Mytilus edulis: one gene and its partner. The protein of the gene in region 1 binds, or shares a complex with, the protein of each later gene. Links are inferred from orthologs where the notes say so. Each region holds a gene or a part of one and is shown in the gene's direction. Other genes may lie near its edges.

Region 1 (7,836 bases):
TATCCATGTATCAGTGATAGCCGCGGATCGTAAACTTGGAATTGATAGTTAATAGCAAATACATGTACACTCTGTTTATAGTATATGTGCATGCATGATCATAGTATAAAAAATCAAAGAGCTGAAGAGCTCTGAGGGAAAAGACGGCCATTGTTTCACTTTTTAGGAGGTATCTTTTGATAGTCTACATACAAAGAATGAGCAAAAGAACAGCTAGAACATATAGAAAGGCTAACAATAATGAAACTAATTGTTGTTTATTGTTATTTCATTTCCTTAGTCAAGAATTCATCATAGAGACAATTTGGACCAATGAGATCTGCACCTTCTAAATCAAAACATTTGATTAAAGTTGGGAGTTAATTATCTAAAATTCAATTGAATTTAACAACTAATACAATATATTTTAGAATTTTAATTATGTACAACTGAACGGCAGGCTAAGACCATTCTCAATTTTTTGTGACACTATTCTCAAGAAAGTGAGGACTGAAAAATCTATTCAGTTTTAATTTCCCATTGATAAATTTCCCAGTTACAACTCTCATCACAGGGATACATGTACTTATAAAATCAAATATGATTGATATAAGCTGTGTGAAGTTTGTTTCCAGATCCCACATTTTGATATATCTGTAAAATTCATGAATAAATAGCTTTAAACTACAAAAAGCAATATTTAAAAAAAAATGACCACTACAATAATTATGTTGGTATGCAAAATTATTTTTTAATTGATGACTACTTATCATATATATACTTAATGTGATATTTTTAGTGTTCAGATACATTAACTTTCATTTTAGTGGGTAATTACTCATCAATTGAGGTGCTCCTTGATTGGAGAAAGATTCTAAAAACATAACTTTACAGAAAGAATGAAAACTACAGTTGCTCTCCCCAATCTCAATAGGTATAAGCTACAAAAAGCAACATTTAATTTTTTTAATTTTTTTTTTAACCATTTCAATAATTATGTTGGTACACAAATTTTTTTTTATATAGAAGACTACTTATCATATACTAAATGTCACATTTTAATTAAGTGTTCAGAAACATTTACTTTGATTTTAGTGTATAATTACTCATCAATGGAGGTGCTCCTGAATAGGAGGAAGATTCTAAAAACAGAACTTTACAGAAACAATGAAAACTGTCGTTTCTCTCCCCAAACTCATGTATCCCCATTGACATTGTTTACCGCGAATGTTAACTTACAAATTATCTGATTATAGACTCAGATTAAAGCATTGCATGTTGGTGTGTGAATGATCTACACTACAGCAAATATCATTAGGTTTACATTTAACAAATACGGATTTTAAATTAGTATACAAATACTGTGACTGGTTTTTATAATGAATAAAGGATATCCCTGTGTGGCATTCCAACAATGACGTCACTAGGTTAGATATATTTAGAATATTTCGTAATACTGATTTTTCCGGACTGTAAAAGAAACGTATATAGTGTAAGGGAAAGCTCAATATACGATAATTTCACGAGAAACAGAAGGGAAATGTGTAAAAAATGTATTTAAAGTCAATCTGTTCTCTTTGTCATCAATTTCAGTATGACATTTTGAGGGGGTTTCCAAACTATCAAAACAAAATGATTGACGTGAGGGAATGATACTCTGGCCAACCCCATTAGGGAATTGACGGCTTGAAGCCGTCTTTCCCCAAAAACGAGATAATAATTGTCCTGTCCCTAAATGGAAGTCTTTGGTTGTTCTCCCAAAATAACACAACCTGAATAATCATAAGCGAGGATAATCAAGATTATAAATTGATTAGTTGTTGGTTGTTCAATGTCAAGTGGCAATTATGTCATGCCTGTTTACATCTAGATAGATAAACAATATTAAAAATACAATAGGTACATTTTGTACATAGTAGAATCTGTAAGCGAAGGAAATTTTGACTCCCACTGGAAAATGAAGATATATTGGATAAAGACAGAAATTTTACATTTTAACAGGCCACCTATAGACCCCTAAAGTTGTTGTCAGGGTTCTTAATGTGCAGAGAGCATGACACTCCAAAGATTCCAGAAGACAAAGATGTACATTGAGGGATTTTAAAAAGTGTTTTTTTACATTTTTAATCTTTATTTCCCATAATCATGATAATACAAATATAATAAAATTAATAGTTCATTTGCAAGTTACACACTTTTTAAGCAAATTACTTCCCTTTGTCAATCGTTGACTGGTTCCATACCAGACAAAATTGGCATTTTCCAATGCAAAGCATGATGAATTGAAAGTGAAGAATCATCAGTTTAACTAATTTTTCATTAAAAATAATTTCTGATGTCATAAGTATTTAGCTGAACAACAAATTAATCATTAATGTAATTAAAAGATTTTAAAACCTTATACAATGTAGATTACTCACATTACGCACAGGTAAATTTGCTCTTTCTACTAGCTCTCCGTTGTAAATAAAAATTAATGTCCCTAATAAGGGAGGCAACCAAAATAGGGATCTCTTATTACAGGGTCAATTACGGGAATTGGCAAATAGCCTATTGAATATGTAAACATGAAATTGCATGTTAAATATAATACCCCTAAGTCTGACTATATAGGGTTTTTATTTCTACAAGTTATTGTATACCACCCTATATTATGTATATGATTTTGTTTCCATTATTTTAATATTTCAATTATAAAATATTCAATACTGTCATTATACACAAGTGAGTTAAAATACTTCAAAAATCAAAGAGCTGATAGCTCTGAGGTGGAAGAAGGTGAATAAAAGGTAACTTGAATTACCATAAAAGCATCCCCACTAACCCAGCCTGCTTTGTTTCATAATCGTTATGATGTATTTTTTTTCTTCAAACAAGAATGTGTCATAAGTATAAAAAAGAAGATGTGATATGATTGCCAATGAGACAACTATCCACAAAAGATAGTCATAAGTACATGGATTTCCCATCCGTACAATCATTTTCTATGTTCAGTCAAACCTGTTTGTTGGTCTTTGTGAAAAAAAAAATAGTACATTGTACATTAAAAAATTTAATTGAATACAAAAATAATGTACATGTATTATGTCAATAAATTAGTGAAAACAAGAATGTGTCCTCAGTACACGAATGCCCCACTCGCACTTTCATTTTCTATGTTCAGTGGACCGTGACATTGGGATAAAAACTCTAATTTGGCATTAAAATTAGAAAGATCATATCATAGGGAACATGTGTACTAAGTTTGAAGTTGATTGGACTTCAAATTCATCAAAAACTACCTTGACCAAAAACTTTAACCTGAAGCGGGACAGACGGACTAACGGACGGACGAACGAACGGACGCACAGACCAGAAAACATAATGCCCCTCTACTATCGTAGGTGGGGCATAAAAATACTATTCAGTATTATCTTTATGGTAGTACTGCATCATTGAATTTTGTCAATCAGCCATGCTTTTATCCTTAAGCTGTGTAAGAACACTCTTTGCTGCAGTGCCATGTTCACGATTTTACAAAATGAAAACAACAAAGTTCAAAATCTACATATGTAGCATGTTAGAATAATCTTCAGAGAAAATGTTTTTGATATGCTTATTAATTTGATCATTAGAAACACAGAATTTGATTGGCTGAACACGATTGTTTTACCTTGGGAACAAAATAAGGAACAGATGATTTTCACTAAATCGTGTTTGAGAGTGTTTTTAAACGATTTTTAATATTTTTTAATAAATGCAAGGACATATTATAAAACGTGTCATGAATCGGAAGTTGTTATGAAATTGTAATGCACAGAAATGGAGGCGGCATACAGAGGTTGTAACGGTTGTAAAGTCGACACCATAGGTCTTCAGAAGACTTGAAGTCTTCTTCCACCAAAAATCAGCAGGATGATGTAGAAAAGATTATTTTAATTAAACACGTTTAAACAAATTAACTATACAGCTTGGCAAAATATACTCAAGGGCAAAGACGCTAATTCATGTTTATACTGTTTTTCTATACATGTAGGTACATGTACAAAATGTACATGTATACGTAATATAAATATATTTGTACCAAACAGTCCATTATCATATTAAGTTATTTTGTGTTTGGATTTATATTTTATAAAGTCCTTACTATACCTGAGGATGTGTGTACAAATTGTGTATTAGGACTAAGGTGTCATTGTGCCTTTTGAGTGGTACATGTACATTTTTACTTTTTGTTTGTGGACATGCGAGTCACAGCTGTTGATTGTTTATTTATTAGTAAGTATCAGCTGGACCATGTACAATACACAATATAGAACACATAGCAGTAAATTTTCAGATCTATTAGACACAAAAAAGATTCCATGATAAATTGAAAAAAAGAGCTATTGTGATTCATATATGGGGATATTATTTTAAGGATCTTCAACAACATGTTAAAACTTAAAGGATACTCAAAGTTAACCAATAAAAGTCATTCAGACTAGATTATAAATAAGTGATGTAATTAGATGTTCTTTCGCTTTCCAAAGTAAAATGCATACTCTCATTCTTGCAGAAAAAAGAAATATATATGTAGATATTATGTCAACATCTCAAAATCATTTCGTCTGATCAAAACAAACGTCCACGTCATTTGCATGTTTGATTAAAGACGAAAAATAATGAAGCACTTTTCGGACAAAGACTTTTTTGACGATTCGCCTATTTCTTCACGCTTTTCTTGATTTTTTTAGACTAAAGACTAAAGATTTTTTGACGAGGATAATTTTTTCTGAAAGGGATATATTTGTTTGTACAGACTTATATGATTCTGATCAAATATTTTAATTCAAAAATTCACTTCAGGCTGAAAATATCACTTCCGGTTTAAGGGGGTCGGTGCCAAAACAAAAACCGATTTCCAGCAAATATTTGCAATGAATATGGCACAACAGCAGGTAATGATTTGCTTTGAACACGAAGAATCCAATAAAACCGTGATTGTCTTTTCGTCTGCAAGATTTGACGCCATAAACATGAAATAATTAGCCCTTTACACTTTCAAAATACAAAAATGATTCAACCAAAGAAACCTTTATACATTTTGTAGAATCTTCATAAAGTTTACAGAAAAAGACAGGACACTAACTATAGAAGACAAAAGTCATTGAGGTGTATTTTAAACAATATGAAAAGAGTTAGTTTATAAGCTCTGAAATCAGCCATTTACAAATAAAATGTGAAATTGTATAATTTTTTTATGGGGTACTAATGAACATTATGATTTATTGTCAACCCCTGTTTTTTTGCTACCGCTATCTTTGTCAGTTTCTGTATCTGTATGGTAACGTCCTAGCTACCAATTCTGGCTTTAATACAACGGGGTGAAGGTGCCATCTGTTTACTGATGTTTCGAGAGAGCAGATTTAAAGCTCTCCATGCTTGTTTCGCACACAATATAGTGTCTTCAAGATGGTTCTAATTAATAACTGGACAAAAAGAATGAGTTTGAGTATTGTTGAGTTTTACTGATGGGAATGTCAAAGCACCTAGTATTGTTCCTCTCTTGTTTTTCCACTATGTTTGTTGCTTTGTAATTCTCAAACTTTTCCGCTGTGATGGTTCGTCTTGGTCTGGCTGATTTTAAAAAGTCGTCTAGATCGATAGCAGGTACCAATCCCTCAACCACCTTGTACAAAAATATAAGTTTTTGGCTAGTGCGTCTGGCTTTTAGTTCTTGAAGTTCCAGTTTTGCGAGCATGTTTGTTATGCAGCCATCTTCTCTTGTTTTGTAGTCCCCTGTTAAAAAGCGTGTTGCTTGTCGTTGTATTCCCTCTAGCTTGTTTGAATCTACTGTACTGTAGTTTATTTTTCGATCTTTAAGTTTGACTGTCCCTCTGGTATCTTTCGTCCCTATTTTATCGTCAAAGGAGCCTTAATAATTATTGTCATTCATCAAATCTCATTATGAAGCTGCCATAAAAAGAGGGACGAAAGATACCAGAGGGACAGTCAAACTCATGAATCGAAAAATAAACTGACAAGGTCATGGCTTAAAATTAAAAATAACAAACAGACAAACAATAGTACACATGACACAACATAGAAAACCAAAGCATAAGCAACACGAACCCCAACAAAAACTAGGCATGCTAGGGATGATCTCAGGTGCTTCAGAAGGGTAAGCAGATCCTGGAGTAAAATGTTTATCTTTTACGTTATTTTAAATCAAAATAATTTACCATCATTCATCATGTGGGATACCCAATTTCCTATCCTCTTCTTGTAAGGTCTAAAAAAAATATTACATGTTCAAAAAAATCATTGTTTGTACCTGTTTGTGTTATTAGCCTCCCTTTAATCAGTCTTCACGCTGAGTGGCAGCCCAGGCTGCCAAGGCTTGTTAAATTGCTCTCGGGCCTGTAAAAATCATATCTACAGGCCAACAGAATCTAACTAAAAATTTTCAAAAATTGAGCTCCGGGCCTGTAGTTTTAATATTTCATTGTAAAGACTGCCTTTAATGAAAGAACGTCTTTAGAAAATTTACATATATGTAAACATATCATCAAATAAAATTGAAATACTTTAACATTTAATATATTCATGATATTAGTTTCAGTCGACTTTAACATGTTTAACTTGGCTATATTTATTAGTGTATGCAAAGGCAAAGCTGTACCAAATACATGTACATCTACAATTACTACTAACATTACAATTGATCACATTCTACATCAAATGACAGAAAAAAGATAGGAGAAAGACACCAAAAGGACATTCAAACTCATGGCATCCTTCAAATTATTGCCAATATATTGTGTCCTTTATAATAATGCCAAGGGTAATTTTGCTAAAACTCCACTATATCTTTTTTTTCATAGTTATTATAGCTGAATTAAAAAAATTTATATCTGTTCTGTTGTAGGCCAGAATGATGACTTCAACAGGACCTGTCACCATACCAACCACCATCCCCCCAGTAGACAGAGACAAGATTTATCAGTGGATTATACAATTAACTAGTCCAGACACCAGAGAAAATGCTCTGCAAGAACTGAGGTGAGTAAAATTTATAATAATATCAATATTGACTCTAATACTGACTTAAATAACAATGCTTTCAGCTGTCATCTCTGAAATTTCATCTTCTTTATTTTACTTTCAACAACATCATGAACATAACCTATTGTTTTTTAAGAAAAAAATTGTGGCAACTCAAGATATTTTGGACATTTACCGTATATGTATATATCGGCTGATGTCTGCTCTATGGTCGGATTGTTGTCTCTTTGACACATTCCCCATTTCCATTCTCAATTTTATTTATTATTCAATGCCTTATTTTTGTTATAACTTTAACCTGTAGAAATCCCTAAAGAAAGATGAAGAGCTGTGATTCACAATAAATTCATTACCTTTGTTAACCCTTTAATCTAAAGTTTTATATTTTTTACAGTAAAAAGAGGGAAGTTGTACCAGATCTGGCACCTATGTTGTGGCATTCCTTTGGAACAGTGGCAGCACTACTTCAAGAAATTGTTAACATCTATCCAACAATAAATCCACCACACTTAACGGTAAATATATATATACCGTAGCATACTGTGGGTTTTATAATTTGTGGAAAACCAATTAACGTGGATTTTGTTAGTGTAGATTACCCACAAGCTTAATGTTCAACGAGGTAAAAAAAAAATATAGGTTGGCAAGCAGATTTTGAAAAAAACATGAAATTAAATAGCATTGAAAATACAAGTTTTCATCAATCCTAGAAAAATTGTTATCCACAAATATAAATGAATCAATAGTAAATGATTTTGAATATTTTGTTTCCTTAAATAATGTTTTGCAGTATTTGGTTCACAGTTAGGGTAGTTGAGTACTAGCAGTAAC
Region 2 (7,712 bases), on another chromosome or scaffold:
AAAGGTACTGTGGATTCATTATTGTTCGTGGATCACCATTTTTTGTGGATTTCATGTGTAAAGGAGTTTTAGGAATTTAAATATTAAAGAACTAATTTTCTTATGGCTTGTATGCTGACTTTGACAAAAACATAAAATTGATTTTCCCAATTATACAATTATTTCTCAATTATACAATTATTTCCCAATTATACAATTATTTCTCAATTATACAATTATTTCCCAATTATACAATTATTTCTCAATCCACCTAAACTTGTACCAAGGGTCCAAATTTCACAATATGAATTACTGCGGATTCATTATTTTTTGTGGGGTAACAATTTTCATTGATTTAGTGGGTACAGATAAACCATGGATTGAAATGATCACTGAATTACACATTTTCTAAAAGGTTGTATGCAGACATTGGCCAAACCAAGAAATCAAATATCCACAAAAATGCAAGTTTTGCTCAATCCACAAAATTTGGTGCCCACGAAAATAAATGAATCCACAGTATTTGTATATGTCTTTAGTATATCTTACTCTTCTGCATCATAAAATGTATCAGCTTTCTTTATCTGAGTTACTATTGGTCGTACCATTTCCTTCTGCTGTTCTTTCTTTGATTCTTCTGCTTCTATTTTCTGTTTAGTGTTATGATAAAAGATGGCTGACATGTACTGGGTTCCGTGAGATGAAGTAGGATTGTGGAATGACCAGAATTTATTCAGCAGGTCACCATAGCTTATTTTACTGGGATCATACTCTAAGCTGATACTCTCTGTATGATCTCCACTACAAAATAGTTTACAGTTGAAATCAGTTCATTACAATTTGAATGTAGTATATATAAAATTTAACATTTTGAGCATAATATTCTCCCTATCTTACCTACATTGTATCATTCATTCATTTACATGTCTTTATGACCTTACCAATCTAAATTAAATGAATCTACAGTTAAAACATATTATTCATTTCTGGCAAAATTAAATGATAAAATATAAGAACATGCAACTGTTTTTCAGAGTAAAAGTTATTCCTATTTTCCCACAAATTGTAAACCAACTAGTTTTTGTGTGCAATTTATTTTAGAGTATAAAACTATTGCAAATATATAAATTGTCTTGAATATGAAAAATTGGATTTTGGTTTACTTAACTACGTAATGAAATTAAATCGCTGCGAAATTGGCTAGAATAGGCAGAACGAGAAATAAAATATTCACAAACATAAGTTGGTTTACAGCATGTTTCAAGAAATTTTAATGAACAGATTAGAATATATTTGTTGTTATCTATACAAAGGTAAATATCATTTAGAGAATAAACCAAAAACATATAAAATTCAAAATTTAACACTCATTTGTTGAAACCAAGTGATAAAATAAAGCAAGTGTTATTCTTTTCCATAACATAGTGTGCAGCAGGCAACTGCTAACCGTTTTTGTGCTATATGAGTTATGAATGTCACAGTAACATATAAAGCCTGCATAAGGCATCATAAGAATAAATTTGACCAAATAAATTATAACTCACATATCTTTTAAGCTGTAATCAAGGTAATATAATAAAAATTTATAACAGACTAATCCTTTATCAGATCAATATAATGTCTTACATGTTACGATAGGTAGCATTCTTGGTGGCTCCACCTGTGAATCCCACTTTGGTTCTGACCACACCAGGTAGACATCCAAACTGGGCCTCAGGGAACCAGAATCAGCTCAGGGCAAAAGTTGCCTTACATAACCTCCCTTCTTCTAGTGGCATAGTGAAGATACTCTACAAATATAAAACCTTTGTATTCTCTAGATAAATCATTTAGGCCATTGTGATTGAGGAGTGGTTCTGAAAAATGCTCACTACGTCATAAAGTGTAAATATACTTTAAAATAATGGTGCTTCACCCAAGAAGTACTCTTCAATGGTTATCTTTTGTCATTTGTGAGACTTGGTGTTGTCTGTTGATGGCAGATTTTTTTTATAGTTAAATTTGTTCAAAGTTTTTTATACTCTTGATAATTTTGAACCTAACAAATGGTATGACATGTAAAAGTTTAAACAAATGGTACTAATACAAATGTAGCTTTAACAAACAGAGTTTCACCCTGATTTTATACTTTGACATATACAATGTATATACATATCATCGAGTAATGTGTTTTTGGACTAATAACAATTTTCACTTCTCACGGTTTTCAGTGGAGTTTTTATTCAGGTGTGTACTCAAAATTTTAAAAACATGTTCTATCGAATGTTTGTAGATATCTAGATTTATTTGTCAAGGCTAACTATGACTTTTTACTAATTCTGATTATTTTGCGATTTTCGTATGTCAAAAAACAGTGTCATATGTTTTCATATGAAGAAAAAACGGAATCAGTTCACAAACAGGAAATGACTATCAAATCCAGAAATGAGTAATTTATAAAGTTGTGGTTCTGGTGATTGCTTAACTCATAAAAAAGTTATTTAATTCTTTTCAGTATTAAAACTAAATAGTAAATAGTTTTTGGTTGATGTTTCATGCGCTGAAATTCTTACATTTTGATTTTTTTCAGATTGGCACTGGGTTTCTACAAAAGACCTTATTTCTGAAGTTTTAAAATTAGTGATTAAATGTAAAAAGCTAGGACTGTTTTTATCATTATATATTAAGGTTGTATAAAAAGAATTGTCAATAGAATGTTGAATGAATGGAGTTTGAACAATCCGATTTTATGTAAGAACCCAGTTAATCTTAACTAGCTGGTTTGTCACAAAAACTACAGAAAACATACATGACAGTCGCATGTCTTGAAGATGCAGTGTTTGACAGACAACCAACATAGCTGTACTTCATGTAACCATTCTGAGTTTTTCTCAACAACTATTCTGGTGATGCATATTTTTGACAGTAAAAAAAAATGGCTGAAACAGGTAAGTTTTACTAAATTTGTTCTAACATATTTTAACACGATTTTGAATATGATTTAAAATTGTGAAGTTGTAGTGTGGTTGTTGTTCCAAATATAGAAACCGAAAAACAAGTCACAAGCCTCCTCTTTTGTGAGAAAAATTTGGTTGATCATATTGGGAATCACTGAAGCATGACTGAAACCCCCCCCCCCCAAATTATGCATATTTTCCCAATAAAAAAGGGTAGAGGTTGTTTTGAAAAATGCCAACAATATCACTGAGAATTTTATGAACTACTGGACCGCAAACTTTCCATGAAGTAAATGAATGCTATTTGCAAAATTGTAAAGATCAAAGAGGAGAACAGAAGATCAAGGCAAAAAGTGTGAAGCATATCTGTACCATAATTCAGTGGCCATTTTAAATGGGGGGTTCCTAACTTTGGACAAAAGGGGGGGGTTCCAACTATATGGTGGGTCTCATTGGGGTCTAAGCGTGACGCGGGATTGCCGATTTTTCGTAAGCGTGAAAGTCAAATTATTGTGTCGTGAAAACGGGAAATGAGGTCTTGCGGGACCCGGGAAATGACAAAAAAATTAGAATTGCTTACGTACATAGTGTAAGCGGGATACAGGAATCTGACAAAACAGTAAGCGGGATCCGAGATCGGAACCCCCCTATATGTTCCCATTCGAATGCATTGATCGGCCAAAAAAGGGGGGTTCCAACACCGGAACCCCCCTGGATCCGCCACTGTATAATCTTCTTTATTCGTCTTGTCACAGAATGCTTGAAATGAGTTAGCCCATATTACATTTATGATTAGCGTCATATTCTTGTTTACCTATCTGAACTATAAATGGCTGTGTTTATATAATATCATTGTTGTCTGTTATGTCTGTTATTATTTGACCTAAACTTAGGCTAAAGAAATAAATCCATAATGACAATTATAATATAAAATTGAGGTTCTACCTGTTATACCCTTTAGATATTGTTTTTAGGTATACACTGTAACTTTTAGATGTCAAATTGTTTTATAGGTATACACTGTATTAACTTTTAGATGTCAAATTTCAGTAAATCTGTTATCAATTCATAATTTAAAGGAAAATAGTAAATTTAATAATCCAGGAACCAGTTCCCAACAAGATTAGCCTAAATTAATGAAATATTATTATATTAATTTTGAAGACAAAATACATCTATAGTTAATATTGTATTGCTTGTATTATTAAAAATACTTTTGGATTTCATCTTTACCTCTAATGTAGTTAAGAAAAGTATTGAGTATTATTTCTTCAATCTATGATTAAAGTGGAGTCAGATATAAAATCATGAAATTACACTTTTCCCTCAGACAAGATGGATGCCTGCTGAGTCCAGGCCCAGGTCGGAATTTGAAAACAACAAACAGCAGGGTAACATAAATTTTGTATCCTCTGAAATAAATTTGAAATTATTAACATAAATAATATGTATGACTGGTTCAAGAGTAAATCCATGTAACATGTTGAAATGACATAATTCAAATGATCAAATTATTTCCGTCGTGACCTCAGGCTCAGTAAATAATTTATTTCTGGTTAAATCGCACCCGGTATAGTCAAATCGGCACCGACGGCAATAGTTGTACTGATTTCGACACCCACGTTAAATATGTTGAATATTTAAACTTTATTGTCGAGCCTGTGAATTTAGTTGCAAAAGAGACTGGCACACATTCATGACATAATTTCTGTGGTCATTAATGTTGACAGGCGGTATCAGGTCCGTTCGCACCCAATACATTTTGACACTCTTCACCTTCACACCACACATGTTTGTCCCGTTATAGATAGTGTACCTTCAAGCTTCTTTTAAAATGAAAATAAATGCCCTGCATCTTTACCTGTTAACTGATTTGAGATGTAAACAAACACAAAAATAAAGCATTGTCATCATGGTCATAATCTCTCTTCATTTAGAAACCATGATTTTTTTCATAGCAATGCACTAACCAAAACATGATTAAGATTTATGTTCAACACAAAACAAAGACTGACAGATGTCAGAATCTCACTTTATTTAGGAACCATTAAAAAAATATATTTATAGCAATGCACTTACCAAAACTCGTTTACAAAATAATTTAAACACAAAACTAATAAAAATTGGTTGCTAAGGTCTAGGGTGCAAAAGTGAAAGGAGGCTCACAGCAATGGGCGTGAACGGCCCCAGATTTATTGGAGGCGGCGTCCAAATATGTAAAAGTTTTTGAAATTTAAATTGAATTCTAGAAGTTTCATTTATATATTGGTTTGTCAGATTTTGATATTGATATATTTGTAAGTGATAAAAAATAAGTTATCTTTATTTTTTATATCAGGTTCATTTACAAGTAAGTAATGGCATCACAAGAAAACAAAGATGATTCTCCCCAAGAGACTGTAGATATTCCACCACCTATACCTTCAGTCACAGAACCTCAGAAACAGATAGCCAGCCAAGCTCTACAGGAATTTGAAAAGAAGAACTATGGTGCCTGTTGTAATCTTACACACAAACTTTTTGTTGAACGTTCAATGGATCCTAAAGTGGTCCACAACAAAGCAGTAGCTGAATTTTATCAAAGTGGATTCTTGACTACAGATGAATTTAGACAGAGCCTCGATAAAGTTTGCCAGATGGTATGATTTAATTTCAAATATGTAAATTAAAAGTGTTATGTTATTGGGAACCGTTGCAGTGGTTTTGAGCAATTATGCTTCCCTTGAGTACTAGAGGTTGTAGTTTTCAACTTCTGGCCAGGTCAATCCAGAGACTTTAACTTGGTATTTGCTTTTCCACTAAGCATGCAGCATTTCATGGTTAGCAAACATTACTGCTTGGCTCAAGATTCATAATAATATATATGAACTGCTGAACTAGCTCATTAAAAATTGGGTTTAAAGATTTAAAAGTGCATGCAGTGTTGTATTTATTTATCTATTTATTGTGAACAGAGATAATCATAAATCTCTAATTATTGTTCAGAGAAATATTATAGGCTATACATGCTATAGCTGTAGTCTCTTATAATAAGGATATCAAGAGAATATATTTGGCAAATATTTCCCTGTTTTTAAACTGTTAAAAAGGATTGTTTGTTTTTTTTTAAACTGTAAATGTGGCTGGTACTGTATACTGAATCAAGTAATAACATCTGCCAGCTTGTCTCTTCTACAATGAAAATTATTGTAAATAAATGTGTGTGTGGACTTCAGGATATCATACTAATGAAATATATTAATTATTGGCTGATAATTAAGTTTGCTGATTACTTTGTCCGATGCCTCCTAAAGGAAATGTTACATTGGCGGTCATTCTCCATCCTGGTCTTTTTAGTAATCACATAGGAAGTTATTTCTAAAGCATTTTGTAGAAATCACCCAGGAACATAGTTATGGGTGTCTTGATGATGATATATTGCTATATTATAACTTTGTAGTAATATACTTGAATTTTTATTTTCTCAGGCTAACATCAGCATGGATAACAGTGACAGTTTAGAAGATGTGGATCATAGTGTATTGTATTTTAACCAAGCCGTTATATTTTACCATCTCAGACAGTATAAAGCAGCCACAAAAGTCCTTGACAAACTCTTTCAGTTTATCGAACCTATAGGTATTATGTACACCATAGTGTATTGTACTTTATCCATGACCATATGTGTAATGTAAATTAATCACTGATTTTAACATTAAAAGTTGATTTTCATCATTGTTCCTCTACTATCAGTCAAATTGCTTTTATTAAGGTTATTATTTGACAATGTTTGAGTTGATTTTGGTATAACTTATTTTTGGATGTAAACACATCTTCTGATTGGCAGACGTTGTTATGTTTATCAGCTCATAGACATAATTTTGTCATGTGACCATGACATCATCACGTTTTTCCATGATTTACTCCGGTTTGATATGGAAATTAGAATTAACTTATAAGAAATGACTGTAATATTTTTTTTGTCTTCGAAATAACATAAATGTGGTGCACACTTTAAAAAAACAACACTACAGGGGTTATTCAGTGTGACCACTATTTGATGTTATATCTTTAGATTTATTGATTCATACTGAATTTAACACCCAAGTAAATTTTCCAATACCTCCTAAACATATCTATCCTATTTTTAATATATATTAATTCCATTTTGATAAGTTTTTATTTTTACAGTTATCATGCTTGAGGACAAGTTGAACTGTGTTATAGTAGATTACTTATGTTTTTAATGGTCAAACGCTTATTGTTACAAAAACTAACTGTCTATTTGTTTATTTTCAGAAGAAAATTTGGCAAAGAAAGCAATAATGTTACTTGTTGAACTATATCTGTGTACTTTTCAAGTAAGTCACTATATCACATTGATTCATTAGACAGTTTATGCATTGATCTTCAAATGAGCTCAATTCAGGAAAATTTTTGGCTTTATTTGTCCAGTCTGTGAATGTAAAATAAGAAGATGTGGTATGATTGCCAATGAGACAAATCTCCACAAGGGACCAAATGAAACAGAAATTAACAACATCGGGTCACCGTATGGCCTTCAACAATGAGCAAAGACCATACCGCATAGTCAGCTATAAAAGGCCCTGAAAGGACTAATGTAAACAATTCAAATGAGAAAACTAGCAGCCTAATTTATGTACATACAATGAAGGAAAAACAAATATGTGACACATCAACAAAAGACAACCACAGAATTACAGGCTCCTGACTTGGGACAGGCACACTCATACAGAATGTGGCGGGGTTTAACATTTAAGCGGGATCCCAACCCTCCCTTAACTTGGGATAGTGGTA

The links. The genes of interacting proteins can lie anywhere in the genome.
Region 2: CCR4-NOT transcription complex subunit 9-like (region 1) and CCR4-NOT transcription complex subunit 10-like share a complex: the UniProt entries of both Homo sapiens proteins name them as parts of the CCR4-NOT complex. The link is inferred for Mytilus edulis from reciprocal best matches to the Homo sapiens genes CNOT9 and CNOT10.

The regions. Positions count from the first base shown.
Region 1 is NC_092345.1:20,339,508-20,347,343, reverse strand, and holds the start of CCR4-NOT transcription complex subunit 9-like, read left to right. Parts: upstream 1-4,589; 5' UTR 4,590-4,877; coding exon 4,878-4,898; intron 4,899-6,868; coding exon 6,869-7,002; intron 7,003-7,399; coding exon 7,400-7,520; intron 7,521-7,836. UniProt on the Homo sapiens protein: Component of the CCR4-NOT complex which is one of the major cellular mRNA deadenylases and is linked to various cellular processes including bulk mRNA degradation, miRNA-mediated repression, translational repression during translational initiation and general transcription regulation.
Region 2 is NC_092348.1:14,910,324-14,918,035, reverse strand, and holds the start of CCR4-NOT transcription complex subunit 10-like, read left to right. Parts: upstream 1-4,222; 5' UTR 4,223-4,306; intron 4,307-5,253; 5' UTR 5,254-5,272; coding exon 5,273-5,554; intron 5,555-6,382; coding exon 6,383-6,533; intron 6,534-7,193; coding exon 7,194-7,255; intron 7,256-7,712. Other genes in the region: peptide methionine sulfoxide reductase-like, read right to left, coding at 529-662. UniProt on the Homo sapiens protein: Component of the CCR4-NOT complex which is one of the major cellular mRNA deadenylases and is linked to various cellular processes including bulk mRNA degradation, miRNA-mediated repression, translational repression during translational initiation and general transcription regulation.